Oryzias latipes: one gene and its partners. Each later gene encodes a partner of the first gene's protein in a complex. Links are inferred from orthologs where the notes say so. Each region holds a gene or a part of one and is shown on either strand. Other genes may lie near its edges.

What was found.
Region 2: the proteins of ccnd1 (region 1) and cdk4 are in contact, whole or in part, in a crystal structure (PDB 2W96), measured with the Homo sapiens proteins. The link is inferred for Oryzias latipes from reciprocal best matches to the Homo sapiens genes CCND1 and CDK4. Residues at the interface, in NP_444284.1 of Homo sapiens: Leu6, Cys7, Cys8, Glu9, Val10, Thr12, Ile13, Ala30, Lys33, Ala34, Thr37, Phe108, Lys112, Met113, Glu115, Pro118, Leu119, Thr120, Ala121, Leu138, Gln139, Glu141, Leu142, Val145, Asn146, Lys149, Trp150, Asn151, Leu152, Ala153; in NP_000066.1 of Homo sapiens: Gly45, Gly48, Leu49, Ile51, Thr53, Val54, Arg55, Val57, Ala58, Leu59, Arg61, Arg62, Ala65, Phe66, Asp76, Val77, Cys78, Ala79, Arg82, Ile87, Val89, Asp129, His132, Ala133, Asn134, Cys135, Ser285, Phe287, Arg288.
Region 3: the proteins of ccnd1 (region 1) and ambra1 are in contact, whole or in part, in a cryo-EM structure (PDB 9IVD), measured with the Homo sapiens proteins. The link is inferred for Oryzias latipes from reciprocal best matches to the Homo sapiens genes CCND1 and AMBRA1. Residues at the interface, in NP_444284.1 of Homo sapiens: Thr286, Pro287, Thr288, Asp289, Val290, Arg291, Val293, Asp294, Ile295; in NP_001354397.1 of Homo sapiens: Arg54, Ser55, Phe57, Val73, His75, Arg96, Thr97, Trp99, Leu116, Ala139, Arg184, Ile945, Asn1012, Asn1029.
Region 4: the proteins of ccnd1 (region 1) and cdkn1b are in contact, whole or in part, in a crystal structure (PDB 6P8F), measured with the Homo sapiens proteins. The link is inferred for Oryzias latipes from reciprocal best matches to the Homo sapiens genes CCND1 and CDKN1B. Residues at the interface, in NP_444284.1 of Homo sapiens: Met56, Ile59, Val60, Trp63, Glu66, Val67, Glu70, Glu92, Lys95, Lys96, Ser97, Arg98, Leu99, Gln100, Leu101, Ile126, Tyr127, Thr128, Asp129, Ser131, Arg133, Glu136, Gln139, Met140, Leu142, Leu143, Asn146, Lys147; in NP_004055.1 of Homo sapiens: Lys25, Pro26, Ser27, Ala28, Cys29, Arg30, Asn31, Leu32, Phe33, Pro35, Val36, His38, Glu39, Glu40, Leu41, Thr42, Asp44, Leu45, His48, Cys49, Met52.
Region 5: the proteins of ccnd1 (region 1) and cyclin-dependent kinase inhibitor 1-like are in contact, whole or in part, in a crystal structure (PDB 6P8H), measured with the Homo sapiens proteins. The link is inferred for Oryzias latipes from reciprocal best matches to the Homo sapiens genes CCND1 and CDKN1A. Residues at the interface, in NP_444284.1 of Homo sapiens: Met56, Ile59, Thr62, Trp63, Glu66, Val67, Glu70, Glu92, Lys95, Lys96, Ser97, Arg98, Leu99, Gln100, Leu101, Ile126, Tyr127, Thr128, Asp129, Ser131, Arg133, Glu136, Gln139, Met140, Leu142, Leu143, Asn146, Lys147; in NP_000380.1 of Homo sapiens: Ser15, Lys16, Ala17, Cys18, Arg19, Arg20, Leu21, Phe22, Gly23, Pro24, Val25, Ser27, Gln29, Leu30, Asp33, Cys34, Asp35, Leu37, Met38, Cys41.

What each region holds. Positions count from the first base shown.
Region 1 is NC_019861.2:4,926,025-4,929,780, forward strand, and holds the end of ccnd1 (G1/S-specific cyclin-D1), read right to left. Parts: intron 3,437-3,756; coding exon 3,288-3,436; intron 3,180-3,287; coding exon 3,024-3,179; 3' UTR 504-3,023; downstream 1-503. UniProt on the Homo sapiens protein: Regulatory component of the cyclin D1-CDK4 (DC) complex that phosphorylates and inhibits members of the retinoblastoma (RB) protein family including RB1 and regulates the cell-cycle during G(1)/S transition.
Region 2 is NC_019863.2:27,222,140-27,226,273, forward strand, and holds the start of cdk4 (cyclin-dependent kinase 4), read left to right. Parts: upstream 1-1,333; 5' UTR 1,334-1,558; intron 1,559-3,265; 5' UTR 3,266-3,272; coding exon 3,273-3,490; intron 3,491-3,566; coding exon 3,567-3,702; intron 3,703-3,797; coding exon 3,798-3,965; intron 3,966-4,134.
Region 3 is NC_019864.2:26,790,958-26,794,470, reverse strand, and holds part of ambra1 (activating molecule in BECN1-regulated autophagy protein 1), read right to left. Parts: intron 3,511-3,513; coding exon 3,322-3,510; intron 3,241-3,321; coding exon 3,086-3,240; intron 2,992-3,085; coding exon 2,852-2,991; intron 555-2,851; coding exon 450-554; intron 1-449. UniProt on the Homo sapiens protein: Substrate-recognition component of a DCX (DDB1-CUL4-X-box) E3 ubiquitin-protein ligase complex involved in cell cycle control and autophagy.
Region 4 is NC_019864.2:11,436,263-11,440,428, forward strand, and holds the start of cdkn1b (cyclin-dependent kinase inhibitor 1B), read left to right. Parts: upstream 1-1,354; 5' UTR 1,355-1,675; coding exon 1,676-2,102; intron 2,103-2,304; coding exon 2,305-2,420; 3' UTR 2,421-2,433; intron 2,434-3,223; 3' UTR 3,224-4,166. Other genes in the region: yars2 (tyrosine--tRNA ligase, mitochondrial), read left to right, coding at 38-197. UniProt on the Homo sapiens protein: Important regulator of cell cycle progression. Inhibits the kinase activity of CDK2 bound to cyclin A, but has little inhibitory activity on CDK2 bound to SPDYA. Involved in G1 arrest. Potent inhibitor of cyclin E- and cyclin A-CDK2 complexes.
Region 5 is NC_019863.2:2,308,765-2,311,611, reverse strand, and holds cyclin-dependent kinase inhibitor 1-like, read left to right. Parts: upstream 1-1,353; 5' UTR 1,354-1,357; coding exon of another isoform or gene 1,358-1,366; coding exon 1,367-1,781; intron 1,782-2,233; coding exon 2,234-2,289; 3' UTR 2,290-2,334; downstream 2,335-2,847. UniProt on the Homo sapiens protein: Plays an important role in controlling cell cycle progression and DNA damage-induced G2 arrest. Involved in p53/TP53 mediated inhibition of cellular proliferation in response to DNA damage.

The DNA of each region.
Region 1 (3,756 bases):
CCAAAACTCAGAAACCTCTGTTCTCTTTGACCAGTCTACGTCTCTTGACGCGCAGAAACGTTGGCTGAAAATAGTTCATTTCATCTATGATCAACCTCCAAACTTAGGTCTATTCGGTCTAATGGAGGTCCGTTTTATCACAACCTTTCATTCTAAAACATGCTTAACCCTTGTGCTATCTTAGATGACCCCCCCCTTCCATTGACGTGTTCTCCCTACCATGACAAAGGTGGATAAAGGTGGAAAGATTTCATGTAATCCATGGACACCAGTGAAGATCACAAATCATTGAAGAAAAAAGGTTCAGAGCACTGTCTAGTGGGTCTAGATGACCCAACTCCCAATCTTAAAGTGCCTAGGATAGCACAAGGGTTACATTTGCACTGTTTAAACTCAAGTGAAGCACTGATTCTATTTAATCCAGAAAGTGTCAGTCAAAGATGTGAGCTTGGAGATGAGTGGTTTGGGTGTGTGAAGGTTTCAGGCAACAAATGGTGGCCAGCTTTCCTAGTTCATGTTTTTATTGTGTCGTCAACACAAAAATGAATACATTATCCTGGGTGCAGACAGCTGACATGAAAACAATCGGTTTGGAATGATCCGTGAACACAGCACAAGGATGATCTATGGCTTACCGAGGATGAGACTGAATGTATTTACAAACTCAAATCGACTCACTGGAAGTTTGAAAAATTGGAGCAGGTTTTTTTTTTTCTCTTTATAAATATAAAAAGGGGGAAGGAAGAGAGGCCATTATGGGCCTAATGGGGGGATAAAGTCTCTTTTATCGAGACAGCTTAACACTCAACAGAGTTATACACATCCCATTTTCTGTTATGGCACCAGTTACAACGCACGGCCTGGACACGCTGGTTTCCATCGCAGATGCTTCACCTACAAAAGGTCAAAGCTGGCAAGCACTGAACCAGCGAGCACAATGAAACACGCACACACACACACACACACACACACAACTAAAAATCAGAGATCATGACTGTCACATGAGGTATTGTGAATCAAAGCATTACTGTACATTGTCAATTCGTCCTTGTATTTGGAATAGTTTGGAAAAAAAAAAAAATCACATTAGATAATTACAACCAAAAGATCACATAGTCTACACAGAACAAATGGTGACATCAACAACTTCCTATTAGAAAATTCAGACCTAGAATGGCAGTACATTTATACATATAAAAAATAGCAGCAAACAACAGAAAAAAAAGCATTGTTTTCATTTCATATCTGTTTTTTGTATTTTTATTTTTGTCTTTAAACACAAAGCTCAAATGTATCTTCTATAGCAGCAAAATACAAGGAGTGTTTCTCTCCTACGTTCTATCCTTACTGTAGAATCAGAAACCTACTTTAAAAGGATCCTACACTCAGACTCCGCCTCATTCCTTATAAAGTGAATGTCCATCTGAGCAGAAATGCCTCCTCTTTATGGGACGAAGCCCCAACCACTCTAAAGCAGTTTCTGATGAGCCTTTCTCCTCTTTGTTTCATTTTTGACACTTCAAACTGTTGCCCACTATACTCTCCACCAGTTTTTGAGGCAAGTCCAAGAGAAGCCCCGCCCACGTCCTTAAGGTTTGTGCAAAAATCATCTCATATTCTCATCGCTCCCCTTTCTTCAACTTGATCCATTTTTCATAATCCATGAGCAGTATTTGAAGTGAGGAGGAGTATGGAGGGATGCCGTCCTGGTGGTTCAGGTCAACTCAAGCTTACGGTTTTACAGCATTTCATTGGCAAACATCTGCACAAGTGGGCGGAGCCACAATTGAAAGTTGTAAAAATAAATAGGTTTTACGATATGGAATATAAAGCATTACTTTAGCTATAAAAATAATCCTTTTACCTCCTCAGATTTAGCCTTTGGCTCTACATGCTTGCAGTTGTAGTGAACCTGTGAAAAGCTCAGGGCGGCTCTGCCTGAACTAACACTGCACAAGTGAAACTAGCAGGACAGGAAGGCTGCTATGACGGGCCTTTCCCAGACATAAAAACAAGTCTATCTGCAACACTGGTCAATTCTTTGTCCCATCTGATGAATCTGAACCAGCTGCTCGACCACTGCATCACCAACCTCGGGTTCCATTGCAAACTCTACCACCACGATTTTTCTTTCAGTTGAGCCAGCACGGCTGACCAAAAGTGCTTCTTTCTTGAAAACAATACATTGGAATGGTATTAGATCTAACTACACAAAAGAAGAAACCATCAGAGTCTGGACAGCTCTGCTCGCATTAGCACTGACTTGATTTGATCAATTGCTGCAAGCGGAAACGGGTCAAATGAATCATCAAGAAAGACTAGCGTTTGTCCACACCAGCAGCAGACAAAAACACAACTTCACTCACAGACGGGTTTTAAAAACTACCCAAAAGCTTAGAACAAAAGAGGTATAAGGCTAAATAATATAATAAAGTGACTAAACATAAACAAGCATGGGGTAAATGGATGCCTGAACTACAAGACAAACACGGGGACTTAGAAAAAGCCTAACTCATTCTAAACAAAAGAAACTGGTTCAAAACAGCATCTTTGCTTTGATAAATGTTGGGTTTCAGGTGGACAGACTGTGAAGGCCTACTGAACACCACACTTTGGGATCCTTAAGTAGTCATCATCAGTCCACAGCAATTTAAAAGATTCCTAGTTTGAAATGGAGGATAAGAACCAAAAGAATCAGTTTGTGTGGCTCTGACTCCTGCCCACACGGGTCACCGGTGCGCGTTTCTCACTTGTCCATGTCTAGTGTTCTGGTCTATGTCCAGGATTGGAGGGGACACTGGCAAGGAATGTGGTGGGAGGTGCGCTGCATGGCAAGAAGGGTGCGCCACCTTGCCTTGGCAGTCGTGGTGGACAAGTGAGTGACATCCGTTGAAGCAGCTGCGCACCAGGCAACCGAGGAAGAGAGGAGGGGAGGCAGTAATCAGGCCCCCCCTTCTTTGCTTGCCCATCTTCTAACAACAGAGTTCTCCCAACACTGGGATTAGGACATGCTGGTGACCATCTCAAATGTTGATGTCCCGCACGTCTGTTGGCGTGCAGGACAGGTCCACCTCTTCATCCACACGCTTGGCTTCCGTCACGCTGCCATGCTGCTGCGCCTGCCGCAGGCTGGACTCCAGCAGAGACTCAATCTGCTCCTGACACGACCGCAAACAGTCCTGCAAACAAACAACTGGTCAGAAAAAAACGTGCTGCCACTGCGCAACAGCAAAGACACGAGCCCTCTTCAGGGTTAGAGGTTAGACAGTGCGAGGGGTTTTCCATACCGGGTCACTGCGGATGACCTGAGACAGGAAGTTAGTCAGGTTCTGAGAGGACAAGGAGGCATCTTGGCTTTTCAAGTAGAGTCCTTGAACAGCTGCCACCACACTGCCGGCTGCCACCATTGATGGAGGACTGGCTATAAAGTTCACATCTGTAGAGGCAGAAGAACGTTCACATTTGGTTCGGGTATCTGCAAGCCGTTTTCCGTCACATCGTATGTTTGCACGTTTGTTTCTGTTCTTTCAGCATCACCATCCTATGCTGTGGGTTCGAATACCAAAGACCTGACCGGAACAGCAAGTTAACCGTGACGCAAAAACTGCTGACCACTACAGGGAGGAGGAGTTCCTCCAGTTTGATCAATGTATTTTCTAAGCTGACTCAAATCAATTTGGTTTGCAGCCACATTGTCAGGACTCTGAAAGGAAGCCGTCCATCCGTTCTACCATTTATCAGGACTTGGGTAATGGT
Region 2 (4,134 bases), on another chromosome or scaffold:
CTTTTACCAGATCTTACAAAAGTGGCTTAAAGACAGACAACACTGGGTAATATAATAACTACTCCTTTCTGTATATTTTTATTTTTATGACATTATTTTTTTTAATGACATTTTTACTAATTTGAAAAATCAAAATTGAGGAAACTCTTATTTGTGAGTTTAAATATTTTACGATGTAAGTTAGTGAACTTTTAATAAGTTCTGGCTTGAGGTCTAATCTCTTATCTTTTAAACATGCAAAACTGGCATTTTATAGTATTGAATTTACCACATAATGTTGCATTAAATTTATTTTGAACAGAGTTAAATGTTTTATACCTTGAGGGTGTATTTTATTTGTTTGTTTGTTTTTAAAATAGGACAAAATTTTGACCAATTTTGTCTCATTTTGCAATGAATAAATTTAAAGTAAGCTTTTATGGTAACATTAATGAACAACTAAAAACTATGCTGGTATCAACTCTCAAGAAAATATTTAAACTGATGTGCATATATTTTTAAAAATCATGTTTTTACAACACATTTAGCTTTTTATTTAACCCGTTATTTACAAATAAATCATTAATGTTAACATACTAATCTTTACAATACATTCATGAAAAAGAAGGCAGCATACCGTAGGATCAAAATAATTAGAAAACCACATTGTGGACGTCATTAAAATGTTGACATTCACTTAATTTGAAAATCCAAATCACTGAATTAAATAATTTTTTAGAGATTGAGATTTTTAATTTCAACTATTTGTATAAAAGGTTTTTTTTTAACAATGTAAATATTTTCTTTCAACATATTTAATTACATTCATTTTCTAATTCTTTTTTAACATTGATCTATTCAGTTCTCTAAACAAAACCACAGTTTTAACTGTGGTGTAAACAACCACAATGATAGTTTGCAGTTGTGTAAGTCAATGGAGTGAAAAAAAATAAAACACTTCCAGTGAAGATACTCTAGTTTATTGACTTAATTTCTGGTTGAAGAATAGAAAAGTTAGGTATCTTATAAAAAACCCAATCAACCATGATTTGATTATTGAATTACCTAATTACATTGCCTTAAAATGAAATATATGTATTAAAAACCTCTATAATAAGATATAGGCTTTCCAAGTTTATAACATTTTTGTCCATTTCTTTTTTATTTAGTGTAAACAGTAAATCACTGTTTTCTCCCTCTTATGTGAAGCAAGTGGGGTCGTTTTCCCCCCTTTTTTAAATAAAACGGCTTAACAAAAAATAGGTCGCACGAATTTGTGGCTTTTGATAACAAAAAGCTTTTTTTGTTTTTTTCTTCAAATGGTTTGTGGTAAAAACTTAAGCTCCGCCCCCTGAGAAGCTAAAGCAACAGGAAGATAACCGAAAACGAGCGCAGGCTGGAAGGAAAGCGGCGGAGGCCGAAATCTTTTCCACATCAAAGTCGCTGTTCGGCCGTAAACTTCAGCCTGGACTCGACCTGCCACCTCTGACCCGTTCTGCTCCAGATAAACGTGGCAGATCAACGAGCATGCTCGAACTAAAGTGAGCTCTCTTGCCCTTAAAGAAAAAAAACGGCCGAGGTAAGCTTTTTTTATGTGTGACCTGTCGAATACACAAACCTGCGGAGGAGTATGGTTTTGCCGCGTTACGCTTTTATGTTGAACAGATGTGAAAAGTTAAAAGGCGGTGATGTGTCTCCTCCGCCGCTGACTATAGTCCCCCGCTTTTTCTTCCGCCACGTTCAGACCAATGATCAGACACGTGTGTGTGCGTGTGTGAGCTAGAAAAGTGCATGTGGACTGTTTCTGCTGCATTTTCTTGCTCTAAATTAACAAAGGACTGCCACAGAGGAGCACCACGTGTCTGCCCCGGCCTACTGATTTCACATGAACATCCGCCCACTGCTTTGGAGTCACCGGCCTGCTTCTCGCTTGATAAGGCGGGGAATGAATGAGACATGGAGGGCGAACGTCCGGCTTTGCCTATCTGATAATCGATACATTTTTCTGTGATCACGAGCTGCTGTCATGCGCAAACTGGTTCAAGAAGATCCCCTCAAACAACGGCTGTTGGGAGTTTCACCTAGTTTATACTCTGGACTCACTGTGTCTCTCCCAAAACACAGAAATGATTGTTTTAGTTAAAAATTTATAGATTTGTGAATTTTATTTCTTTTCTATTTATTGTATGTTGTTTGATTTATAAAAATAAGTTTTTACATAATTCCATGTACTCTAATCTGGAATAGTATATATATTCATTTCCAAAAAAATTACCAAAAAGCATTTTCCCATCATTTAGGATAAACCAAGTTAAAGAAAAATGCTCCACTGTGTTGGTGCTTTATGCAAAAGTCTCTCAAAAATGTGCTTTTAATGTGTATAAATTGATCTTTTTGCGGCTCTTTTGTCCTCTGGTTTCTATGCTGTAAACAAACAGCAGAGGCAGAAAAACTTGCTGCAGGAAAACGAAACACTAAACGCACAGGAGAAGCTCAGGAAAGTTTTGACACAAAGTGACACAAATGTCACATGTCACTCTGGGGAAGGGATCAATCCAGCCAGGCATCATTGTCAAACCATTCCTTATGTGCAGAGAGAGATTCCTGATTTAAAAACACTAAAGAGCCACTCCAATCATCATTTGATCTATTTTAAAAGCGTTCCCAGTGATCTTTTAATGTTGTGTAATTTTCTAGGACATAGTTTCTGCAGAGCAGATGGAGTTACGGTAATCAAAATTTTTCCTCTGAGTTGTGTTGAGCAAGCCTGCCCTGACTTCCCATCATCCCTTTGTCTGCATTCTGTCTTGCTAGCTTACAGTCCCTCACAACCGCAAGCAGCACAAATAAATGGTGATCATTATTGGAGTTACCCGGCCATATAGCTTTGAGCCAGATACTAGCTCAGACGAGGAAAACGAAGATGGATCTAGTCATCTGCGAGTGGATGTATCTGCATGGACAGAAACAGGGAGCTTGAGGCCCGCCGATTGTATTTTGTATACAAGTAAAAACTTTTTCTAACAGCAGTTTTTGGTCTGCTCCTGATTCACTATGATTTGAAAAAAGAAGAAGTAGTAAAGCAGTTTTAATTTCAATTTTCCTAATATATGTCCTCCAACATGAGAAGAAAATGCTACCAAAACATGTCAAACAACCAGAAACGCTGTTTTCTTTTGGAGTGGTTCTTTTAAAGACTTTTTCCCTCAGTAAATCCCTCAAAAGTGCTGCTCTGGAGTTTGAGGTGTCTGTATAAATGTGAGATGACCCCAGTCTCGTCTCCCAGTCTGAGCATGGCGCAGTGCACCGGTCTGCAGTACGAGCCGGTGGCAGAGATCGGTGGTGGCGCATACGGGACCGTCTACAAGGCTCGCGACATCGAGAGTGGCAAGTTCGTCGCCCTGAAGAACGTGCGCGTCCAGACTGACCAAAATGGCCTCCCGGTGTCCACGGTCAGAGAGGTGGCGCTGTTGAAGCGCCTAGAGCAGTTTGACCACCCCAATGTGGTCAGGTAGGAGAGTTATCACAGGTTTTGTCTCAAATGTTGCCCCCCCTCCACCTCATCAGTGCTTGCTACTTTCATCCAGGCTTATGGATGTGTGTGCCACCAAGAGATCCGACCAGGAAACCAAAGTCACTCTGGTGTTTGAGCATGTGGACCAAGACCTGAAAACGTATCTAGAGAGAGCTCCAGCTCCAGGGTTGTCACCAGAGCGCGTGAAAGTGAGTCCCTGAAGAAAAGAATAAAAACTGATGGCAGCTACTGTTTGGAACTGATTCTCTTTCTTTTTTTGTGTGAAATATTTCTCTGTCTTCAGGACTTGATGAAGCAGTTGCTGTCTGGCCTCTCCTTCCTCCACTCAAACCGCGTGATGCACAGAGACCTGAAACCCGAGAACATTCTGGTGACCAGCCAGGGCCAGGTCAAACTAGCAGACTTTGGCTTAGCGAGGATATACAGCTGCCACATGGCCCTCACTCCTGTGGTAAGATCTGCTGTGTGCTCACGTCTTGATCATCAGCAGCGGTTTGGTTAATGTTGTTTTTTTGAACAATCGCTTTGGAGATGATTATTTCATTTGTTTTTGCTGTCTGTTTTGGCTTCTTTTCTTGGAATAAATCATTTTCAGTTACGACACAACCCTGACCGTTTAA
Region 3 (3,513 bases), on another chromosome or scaffold:
CGTCTTTAGCAGTGTAGCTTTCCACAGAATCCGGTGTCAGACCGTGGAAAAAGTGAACAAAACAATGAAACTCAGAGACGCTTGTCTGCGGATTTTTCCACTAAATCTCCCATGATGCATTGGGTTAAAGTGACAGCGTCTTGGCGAACAATGAGTCTCTCCTCTTAACGTCTTAAAACAACAACAAACACACAGTTTTTAAATCTTCTAACTTAACTTTTATTACATCTTTTAAAAAAACAGCTGCAGCTTCCAGCTTTTTCTGTCACAATTATCACAAAAATGCATGTGAGATTGTGGATGGGCTGTAGATCAATACAGACTAAGAGCTTTTCCTTTTTGTTTTGTTTTCTGGTGCTGCGGGATTTTTGTCATGGTTAAAGTGTGCCGTGGCTCATAAAAGGTTGAAAAACACTGATCTAGATACACTGCTTGGTGCAGATTCTTACCCGGTTCTGTCAGAACCTCGAGTCCGGCTTGTTCCACTATTGTTGACGGAGAACAAGGGTTCACTGTTCGCCTCACTGGGATTCTCTCCTTCACTGCGGTAGAACCTGCACACGCACACAGAAACACGTTTATAATCCAATTTTGCTCTGAGGAAGATCAGGAAGGGCGTCTTCTGAGAGGCGCCTGGACCACAACCTCATTAAACGCACTAATTGAGCTTTTTCAATTAAAACTCTTCCTGTTGAGATGAAGATAATGACATCAGTGCTTCGTGTAGAGGAAGTTTGGGGGGGGGGGGGGTAAGGCTGTAGTTGAAAGGAAAACAAACACCATGCAGAAACGCTTAACTGCTTTTGTAAAAATTCAGCACCACAAACGAGGTTTTTCAATGTTCTGGGAGGTTCTTTAGGGAGGAAATGGCTTCTAAAGTGAAAGCTGTAGCAGAGCTGGATTAAGCTTGTGAAGTTGAAACCCATAATTTATACCGTTGATGTCATGCGTAATTTCCCAAACAACTCGGTAAAACGAGTTAGGGGTCGAGTTTCCAACTGTGACCTGCTGAGCTGCTAGAAACACAGGACAGAGACAGGACTGCAGAGTGACAGGAGTTCATTAGAAATTCCCCTCAGAATTGTGGGCGGGGCTCTCTTTTTACATTCTCCCCAGCTAGCCTACCGTCCCTCACACCCCAAATCTAACATAACCGGTGAAACAAATATGGCGAGCCTTATTGGAGCTATCCAGTCGTCCAGTTCTGATCTAGATGTCATCTCAGATGAAGATAAAACAGAGACGTCCAAGTTGATGCATCAGAATGGAGGGAGCAGGGAGCTTTTGGCCCGCCCAGCATATTCTCAATGTCATAACTATAATCTTTTTTGAGAATCGCAGCAATTGAGAATCATTTATTTGAATAGGGGGGACAGCGCATATTAATAAACATTTCTGTCAATATGCCAGAGTTAGCCAAAGGGCTATTTTTCATCTGCAGTCCCTGGGAAGATGTTAAAAATCACCCTAAAAGATCAAAGTAAAATTACATATTTACATATTTTACATATTTTAAACAGGATTCTTTCGCCTGCTTCTAATTCGGGATTTGAATACGGAAATTTTCTTCACACGTCCATCATCAGAAAAATGCCACAAGAACATGTTAAAAACACCAAATAGATATGTATGTTAAACGTGCTGCTGCAACAATGTTCTCAATCCAGCATTTCTCCCGTATTCAGCTGCTCCTCATGTTTATGCATCATTCCGTCTTATGGTTTCACTAAGATTGTTTCAACAAAGCACCTCATTAAGAGAAATGCTGTTCAAAGTTTAGAAACACTTTTTGGAAAACGTCAAAAACGCATATACATGCTAGATTGAAAGTGTATCCTCCTATTTCCTTTCTTTGGACTTCAGCTTCATCCTGACGGAGACCTTCAACTCAAACGCAGAGGGAGGATCTCAGTCTGAAACTCAGACTCTTCTGGAATCCTGGAAAACAGTTCCTCTGATATCCATCAGGAACATAAATGAAGACCGTCAAATCACGTTAAGAGGTCTAACCTGGCATCCACATGCGTGGACATCACATGTTGGGTTCACCACAGTAGTTAATTCTGCTTGGCCATATGACTATGTGTGTAGAGAATTAGCTTGAATATTAGCTCAGATCTTAAAAGGTTCAAGTCTTTTTCGTTGAAGTTAAAAAATATATATTTTTAACTTGCAGTGGCGGTTCTACACTAACTTACTTGCCGGGCGAGTAACCCCATCAGCGCTCAACAGTAAAAATCCTCCAAAAAACCTTAAAACATTAATAAACAAATGATCGATTGTTTATTAATTATCTCAAATAAACCACAGAAAAGACACGTAATAAATCTACAATAGTCAGTAAATAATGACATTAACATGAGCTGAGTGATCCAACGGCACGCCATGATCTAGGATTTGCGTTATTGCGCCCACTACCCCTCCCCTTTTCCTTCTCTAAGACAGGACCGCGCAGCTGCGGGGGCGCCAATTCGCTGGTTTTAAGCCGTTCCAAAGTCTGTAAAATAATAGATAATAGAAAACCGATAGTGGCACAATTTTTCTTTTCTTCCAAGCACAAGGATGTTGCCCCCCATTGAAATTTGCCCCCGGGCAATTGCCCGTATTGCCCTTGCCTAAAACCGCTACTGTTAACTTGATTCAATCCTATTCGAAACACAAGGACAAAAAGTGAAGCGAGAAAAACTTTGAAAAGAAAAGTATAAGGGCAAAAAACAGTTTGACACAAAAACAGTGAAGCAGCAACACAGAAACAATGCTCAGTGAACACAGGCTTTCTACTGTGTTCCTCACATTTGTCAATTCTTACTACTTTGAAGTCAACTTCAGCTACAGAGGAACAGGAACTCACACGGGCCGGCAGATCACCAGGTCTCCCTTATTGGTCCCGTATGCCAGACCCATCCCTGGATCTGGCAGCCAGCGAGCAGAGTTGATGCTGACGTGGCGCCTCTGGTCTGGCGCCATGGGGTAAACCACGTTAAATACCATCTGAAACACAGGGGGGCAAATACACATGATCACCACTGGAGCATAAGAACAAAACACAGCAACAAAGAGTGAAATGAAAGATTTTTTTTCTCACCCTGATGGATGTCTCTCCTCCATGCGGCTGTTGCAGGCGGAAGACTTGCGCCACCATGTGGTCTGTGGTGGGGTGCAGCAGGATCCTACGAGAGGCCAGTCCCACCATCACGTAGCAGCCCATGGGAGACAGACTGACAGAGATGGCATTGGGACCTGCAGAGGAAAAGATGTCAAGATATGCCGTGGCTCAGCGAGTCAAAGGCTTGAACAAGGGAATGTGGCGGGAATTCGCACCAAATCTCTTGGTGTAAAGCATCTCTCCTAGGTTGTGTGGAGCCAGAGAGTATATGGCCAGGATGCCCTCATCTGGAAAACCACGCTGGCTGCTGGGAATGAAGACCGCTAGTAGCTGACCATCTGCAGAGATGTCACAGCTGGCGTCGTTGTAGATTTTACAGTTTGGCACCAGAACGTTGACCGAGGCTG
Region 4 (4,166 bases), on another chromosome or scaffold:
ATTTGGATCCTGACTGAGCCGTCGTGTTCGCTTGCAGGTACCAGATGGTTTCAGACGGAGCCGTGTGGATCAACCACACACGGGCGGACAAACCGGAGCAGGTTCTCGTCCCCAAACTCCACGTCCTGTCCAACGGACTCACTCTGCTCAGAGTGGGCAAGAGGAACTACTACATCATCAAGTGGCTCGGTCTTTGAGGCTGCACCGCCCACCGCAGTGCCTGTACGCCGTAAAGGACTTACAGGCAAGGTAGGCGACTAAAGCAGACTGTAGCGGACTCATAATGGTGACTCTGTAAGTCCATGTGGCCTTTGTTAAAAATGTAATCGTACAGACAACTTTAGTATTTAAAGGTATTAAAAGATTTGTGCTTCCAGAGTTGTGTGTTAGATGAAGCTCTAGGGGGCGCTGTTGGCTTGACAGTGGTTGAGTGAACACTGCTGCACCTCCTATCCTGCTCTGACCCTTTGAGTAAATAATTGCTCACAGCTAAATTAGATTGCATCATTTCTGTCAAAAGGCTTTTGGTTCTATTTAAAGACGACTGCGCCACTTTCAATTTAAGCATCAAGCTGCCCTCTATTCTCATTTAGGGGTGTTTATTTTTTTTTGCATGTGAATAAAAAGTAAAAACTAAGAAGCTTTATGATAAATCTGGAAAAAAACAGTTGACTTTAGGATAGCAGAAATTTATTTTCATCTTTATATGTTATTACTTCATATATAAATATTTTCAGTCAATAATTCCGATATATGTACAGATTTTGTTACGGTAAGAAAATTTTTTAGAATTAAAATGTTTATTAGGCTTTTACTAAATCAGCTCAGTTTGGGGTCCTCTTACTGGACTTTATCTCCATTTAGGACCACAGGTTCATTTATTAGTGTCCATTGAAAGAATATGATGCAACAATTTCAGTTTTGTTTTGGATTTTACTCCATTTTAATTGTATTTATTAATTTTACTGTACATCCAAAATGTTTAAAATAAATACTGAATATGTGTGTTTTAGAACATATTGGCACTATTTGTATGGTTGCAATCCAATTTTTTTCTTCAAATTTAGATGTCTTAAAATGTTTAATCCATTTTACTTTTTGAAACTTGTACATTAAGTTACATCAAATGTGTGAACTTATTTACTTTGTAAAAAAAATAAAAAAGGTAAGTAATATGTTTAGAACAGCATGCCTTATGCAATTATTCGGTCTACCTTAAATAAAGTGGGCGGGTCTAAAGAGCTCCATCCAATGAGTGCGCTTCTTGGGTTTTAAATGGCTCCGTATGTCAATCATGTGTAACCCTCCTCCCCCTCCCTCCAAAGTCAACCTCCCCTCTCAATCCCCACTACATGTCTCAATCGCCATATTGGGTACCGAGAGGTTCGCCTCCGCTTCCCGCTGTACGGAGCGACGTTGACAGCGAGCTTTGGTTCGTTCTCCCGTCGTTTGGATGATTGGCGTAAGCCGTCTTCGGCTCAGGAAATCGCAGCCGTGTTTGCCTCCAGCTCGACGTGCGCATGGTCGTTTCACGCCTGTTTTGGATCTTTCCCCGTGACTAGGAGGACATACCTTTTTTTTCTTTTCTTTTTTCTTCTTGAGGTGTGTTTTTCGCCTGAAAACTGGACGCTCCCGGCTGCTTGAAATTTTTACCTTTTTTCCGGGGGGCTTAACCATGTCTAACGTTCGACTTTCGAGCGGGAGCCCGACTTTGGAGAGGACGGAGCCCCGGGTGTCGGAACACCCGAAGCCGTCAGCCTGCAGGAGCCTCTTCGGCTCGGTGGACCACGAAGAGTTAAAGAGGGATTTAAATGTACATTTGCGGGAGTTTGAAGAGGCTGCCTCCGCCAAGTGGGGCTTCGACTTCGCGACTGACACACCGCTGCCCAACAGCAGGCTGGAGTGGGAGCTGGTGAACGCCAGAGACCTGCCGAGTTTCTACACCCGCCTGCCGCGGCGAGAACGAGGCGTTTGCCCCGGGAATAACAATGTGGATCTAAACGGGAATCATGACTGTGTCGGGACAGTTCCCAGCCGCTCTGACGCTCAGATGGAGTGCACGGAGCAGTGCGGCGGGCTGAGGAAGAGACCTGCGTGTCACGGTATGACATTAGCATCAAACGACCCGTTGCTGTGTAACAGATCGCCGGGCGGCAGCTTTGTGCTCGCGGTACTGGTATGCGGGATGAGGGGGTCGTAAAGCGGGGGAAACTGCCGTAAAATCCCAGAGAACATTGAGCACCCCGACCATTTTTTTCTCTCTGTAATATATAGTTTATTTTACTCATTTATTTATTTTTGCAGACCCTTCGGCCCCAAGTAAGAAGTCTCACACCAGCCCGGAGGAGGTTAGCTGTCCGAGCCTGAGCCAGTCTGCAGAACACACACCCAGAAAGACCAGCCCCAAGAGACCAACGTGAGCACGGCGACACGGTGAGCGAACCACTTCAATTTAAAAAAAACTGTTAACCTCGAATTTAAAAAAAAAAAAAGATATTAAATTTTACATCATTTTTTTTTTTATTTGTATTGACGCATTCTAGCGCAAAAAAGTGAAGTCTGTTTATTAAACCAAGAGGATTTATATGACACGCCAATAAAGAATTTTTAAAAAAAAAAGTTTTTTCCTCCTTGCGGCCGATGTTCGTCTGCTGAACTGTAAACAACAAGCTGAACAACAGTGTAGTAGTAACACGTCAGCAGCCAGTGGCCTCCGCGCGGACGGGAAGGGGCAGGTCTCTGAGCGCGCGCGCGCAGAAACACACGCAGACATGTACACTCCCTGCTGCAGAGGAGAGTACGAGAGTTCTGCAGGTCTACTATGACCCACAAGAGAGAAGGAGCACAGAAACCTGCTCTAAGCTGTCAGGTGTGAACCTTTAAAGGTTGTGGCAAAAAAAGTCAAGGTTAAATTAGCGGAACTTTGACTTCGATTTATCTTTAAGTAAAAAAAAATCCCATGTTCATTTTCGTCTCTTCTTAGTAAAAATAAAAGTTAACAGAACTGAAAAAATTGCACGTTTTTGTAAATGGTATGCAGCCGAGCTTTATTTGAGTTGATAGTTTTGTTTTGTTTTTGGAAATGACTAGTTTCTTCTTTTTTTTCAGTCATACCTCAGAACACTGTCAATACTTTAGCAGTAGTAGTTGCATCTCCTAAAAGAAAAAAAAGTACTAACCTTTCAACCTCTTTGTTTTTGTCTTTTGTTCTGATCTCCAACAGAGCTCAAGATGTGCCCCTCCCAGTTTTTTTTTCTCTGTACGAGTGTGTTTGCGTATGCGTGCATGTGTTTTTTTTTGTTTTTTTGTTTTTAAGACTGCGTTGATCTTTTTTTTTTTTTTTTAATTATTCTTTCCTTTTTTTGGACGAGGATCTACACAGCATCAGAAACATATCAGCTCTCCTGAGGACGGGGGAGGACGCTGTTGAAGCACTGAAGAGAAACACTAAAGTTTGTGGCACTCATTGAAATGTTACTGCCTCTAACAGCAGTCCATGTAGCAGCGTGCAATTAGGTTTGATTTTTTTCTTTTTTTAACTACCTGTGTGTAAATAATTTAATAAATAAATATATATGTTTTCTATGTAGCACATAAAAACATTGATTTTTTTTTTTTTTTAATCCTTTGTGTAAAAGAGGTGTGAATTTTGATTTGACTTGAAGTGTTCGGTTTGAAACATGTTTCCAAAATGCTGTTCTGTTTGCATTTTATTATTATTATTAATATTTTTGAAAGGCACTGTGGTGTTGACCCAGTCCATAAATGCTACATTTAAAAAAAAAGAAAGAAAATCATGGTTTTAGTTTCTCAACAGTGTGCCTTTATGCCGTCATCTTCCTAACTCAACAGCAAGGAATGGTACAAATGTAGCTCATCTGCCTAATGAACGTGTTTTTCTTTTCTTCCCTTTTTTGTGTTGAGGCCACTTTTTCTTTTTTCTTTTTTTTAAAGATCCACAGGAAATGGCACAGGATGAAATTAAAAATTTCAGCAAGTACCTTTTATTTTCCTTTTTTTTTTTTTAATATTTATTTTAAAATTGGAGTTCTGATGCTTTTATTTTGTAAATGTTTCGATCCCCAGAGTTGTGAGGCACTCATTTTTTTTTTGAAGGACAAAGACCATGCACATGTTTCCAGGCTGTCAAACCTAAGTTAAATGTT
Region 5 (2,847 bases), on another chromosome or scaffold:
ATCAACCTATTTCACATTTTCACAAATCAGAGGAAGGTTTCACAAATCAGAAACTGTGTTTAATGTATTCTTCAGTATCTAAATCATAATTTAATCCAGGTTTGAGCAGTCTAGGTCCAGCAGTTTTTGAACCGGACCCCATCTAAGGAGATCTTAGTGCAAAAAAAACAGTGGAATGCTCCTTTAGTGCACTCGCGAATCGGAAGCTGTGAATCGGATGCTAACTTCAGCGTCGTTGATCCAACATTCTGGTTATATGAATTAAAAAAGTTTCCTGGTAACTTATTAAATCAAAAAAAAGTTTTCCAGAAGTCCTATCTAGGGTGTTTTGATGCGCGCGCGCGTCCTCCGCGTGAGTACGGCGGTGACAGCCCCGTTTGAATGGGGGACACGTGCTCCAGGTTCACGTGGAGCCTCGTAGTAACCGAACGGGGCTGGTCCAAACCCGGATTCATACTCTCCCGCCATGGCCTGAACGCCCGCCCCGATGGGAGTCGGCCGCGCCCCCAGTGACCCCGCCCCGAAGAGACAACAGAAGCTTTATGTCGGTCTATGACGTCATGAAAAGTCTGGGTTACTCTGCTAGATCACCGTTCCAGCCTCAATGGAAGAATCAAAACATTCAAAAATAAGATATTTAATGTCAATATCCATCAGTCTGAGCTTTAAGAACAGCGGGATTATAATGTGGAGAAACCTAAATATTAATTTAAACATTATCACTAAAGAACTGGAAATAGTTTTAAACCAGATAAAGGAAAATATTCATATTTTTGGTATAAATTGTTTTCTAAAGTGTTTTTTAAAACAAAAAAAAAACAGGAACAACCATTTTTAATTTATGTATTATAATAAAATCATATCTAACAAGCTGCTGGGGGTTTGTTTGCTGTCTATCCTCATTTTCTGCTCTCTTTAAAAAAAAAACAACAAGCTTTACTGTGGACTATTTTGTCCTCCTGGATAACCAGCCTGGCCTGGGATGGACTTCCTTTTTTCCTAAAAAGGAAAATGTCCTGTTCAGGGTGATGCGGTCTGTCATGCAGACTGAGGTGGAAGGACACCTCTGGTGGTGGATCTGTCATTGCCACTCTGCCCCCTAGTGGCGGCTCTGTGTTGTCGGCCTGTCAGATTATGTCCAGGCATGTACCGATGATTCAGCCTCTCCTAAGAGGGAGGGAGGAGAGGAGAGGCACAGCTCTGCTTTTCTCTGATGGTCTGTAGAGTGAACAGTCATGGTGAGCTCGGAACTTTTTACACTTTGGGTTTTTCTTTGACTCTTTTACTGCTTTACATGATCCATCTCATCATCATATGACATCTGAGATCTAACCAGGAGTGTTCTGTGTTCAAACAGTGCAGAACCATGGCTGCTCCAAAGCGGATTCCCGCCGCTCCCAGGAGGCCCGCGAGGCGAAACCTGTTTGGCCCGGTGGACCGGGAGCAGCTTCAGCTGGAGTACCAGGCCGCCCTGCGGAAAGACCTGGACGAAGCGTCCCTTCGCTGGGGCTTCGACTTCCGCTCCGACAAGCCCCTGGAGGGCAGCCACTTCCTGTGGGAGAGCGTCCCGGGGGCCGGAGTGCCGCTGCTGTACCGCTGTCAGGATGCTGGACGGGTCCAGAAGACGGCGGAGACCAGGACCCCCCCCAAGAGACGAAGATCTGAGCTGCCGCAGAGGGAGAAGGAGAACATCCCACTGACAGAGAACATCTTCAACGTGGAGAAAACACCAGAGAAGGAGGAGAAGGCCGGGATGAAGAGGAAACAGACAAACATCACAGGTGCTTTCATTTGTTTTGAATCGTGTTCTTATGACGCTTTATTGACGATGGAGGACATTTATAAAGAAAAGCTTAGTATTTAATTGTTCAAAGCAGATAAAAAATGTTAGAAAAAGAGAGTATCTGCATTCATTTACAGACAAATAGGTCCAAAAAACTTTTTTAGTCCCTCGTCTGAGCTAGAAGAGTAATGTGAGGGGCTGTAAGCCAGCTAGAGAGGGTACAAATAGATGGATAATGGGAGGTAGGGGCGGGGTTACTCTGAGCTAATGCCCCGCCCACATCTCAGAGGTGACGACAAGATTATTTCATTTTGGCTAAAAAAGGCATAATCGTAATCAAAAGACGACAGGGAAGGCTTTTCTCAAAATATGATGGGAGTGGAACGTTCAGCTGCGTCTGTGTCGTTGCACCGATTCCCCCTGAGCTCAGTGTCGCTTTCATCCCTGCAGATTTCTACCAAGCTAAACGACGAATGGTCTGGATGCCGCGGAAATCGGGCGAGTGACGGAGGAGCGCACACGCCACGCCCCACTCAGAAGCCACGCCCTCCGCAGGAGTCCGTACCTGTGAACTCGGGAGGGGTTCAGCTACATTTCACTGCTCAGTTAATTAGGCTACTGTATGTGGGGGGGGATCGGTGCCTTTCCCTGGGCTAAGAAGGGGACATTTGAGCAGAGAAGATTAACGGTAATCCACGGAATCAGTGGATTTATCCTCATTTGGATCAAGCGGTTGCCAAAGTGATGACAGACATTTTCGCCGCTGTACATTCCACATCTCGGCTCCCACCCACAGGAGAGGAGGAAGATGTACAGCATGTGTTAAAATCACAATGTCCCCCCTTTTTTTATGCTGAAGTGAAGAGTTTTATATGAACTATTGGGAAAAAGAGATTCAACGTCTCCAAGTCTAGAGACGCTCTGCTTCCATCACGAACCACAAACCTGCATTTCCCTTCATGTCCTGTCTCTTATTCGTCAAATTCATCTGCTGCTCTGTCCTGACGTGTGAATGGCTCTGGATTATGAATGTTCAGTGTGTAGCAATTTATCTCTTTGGAGCA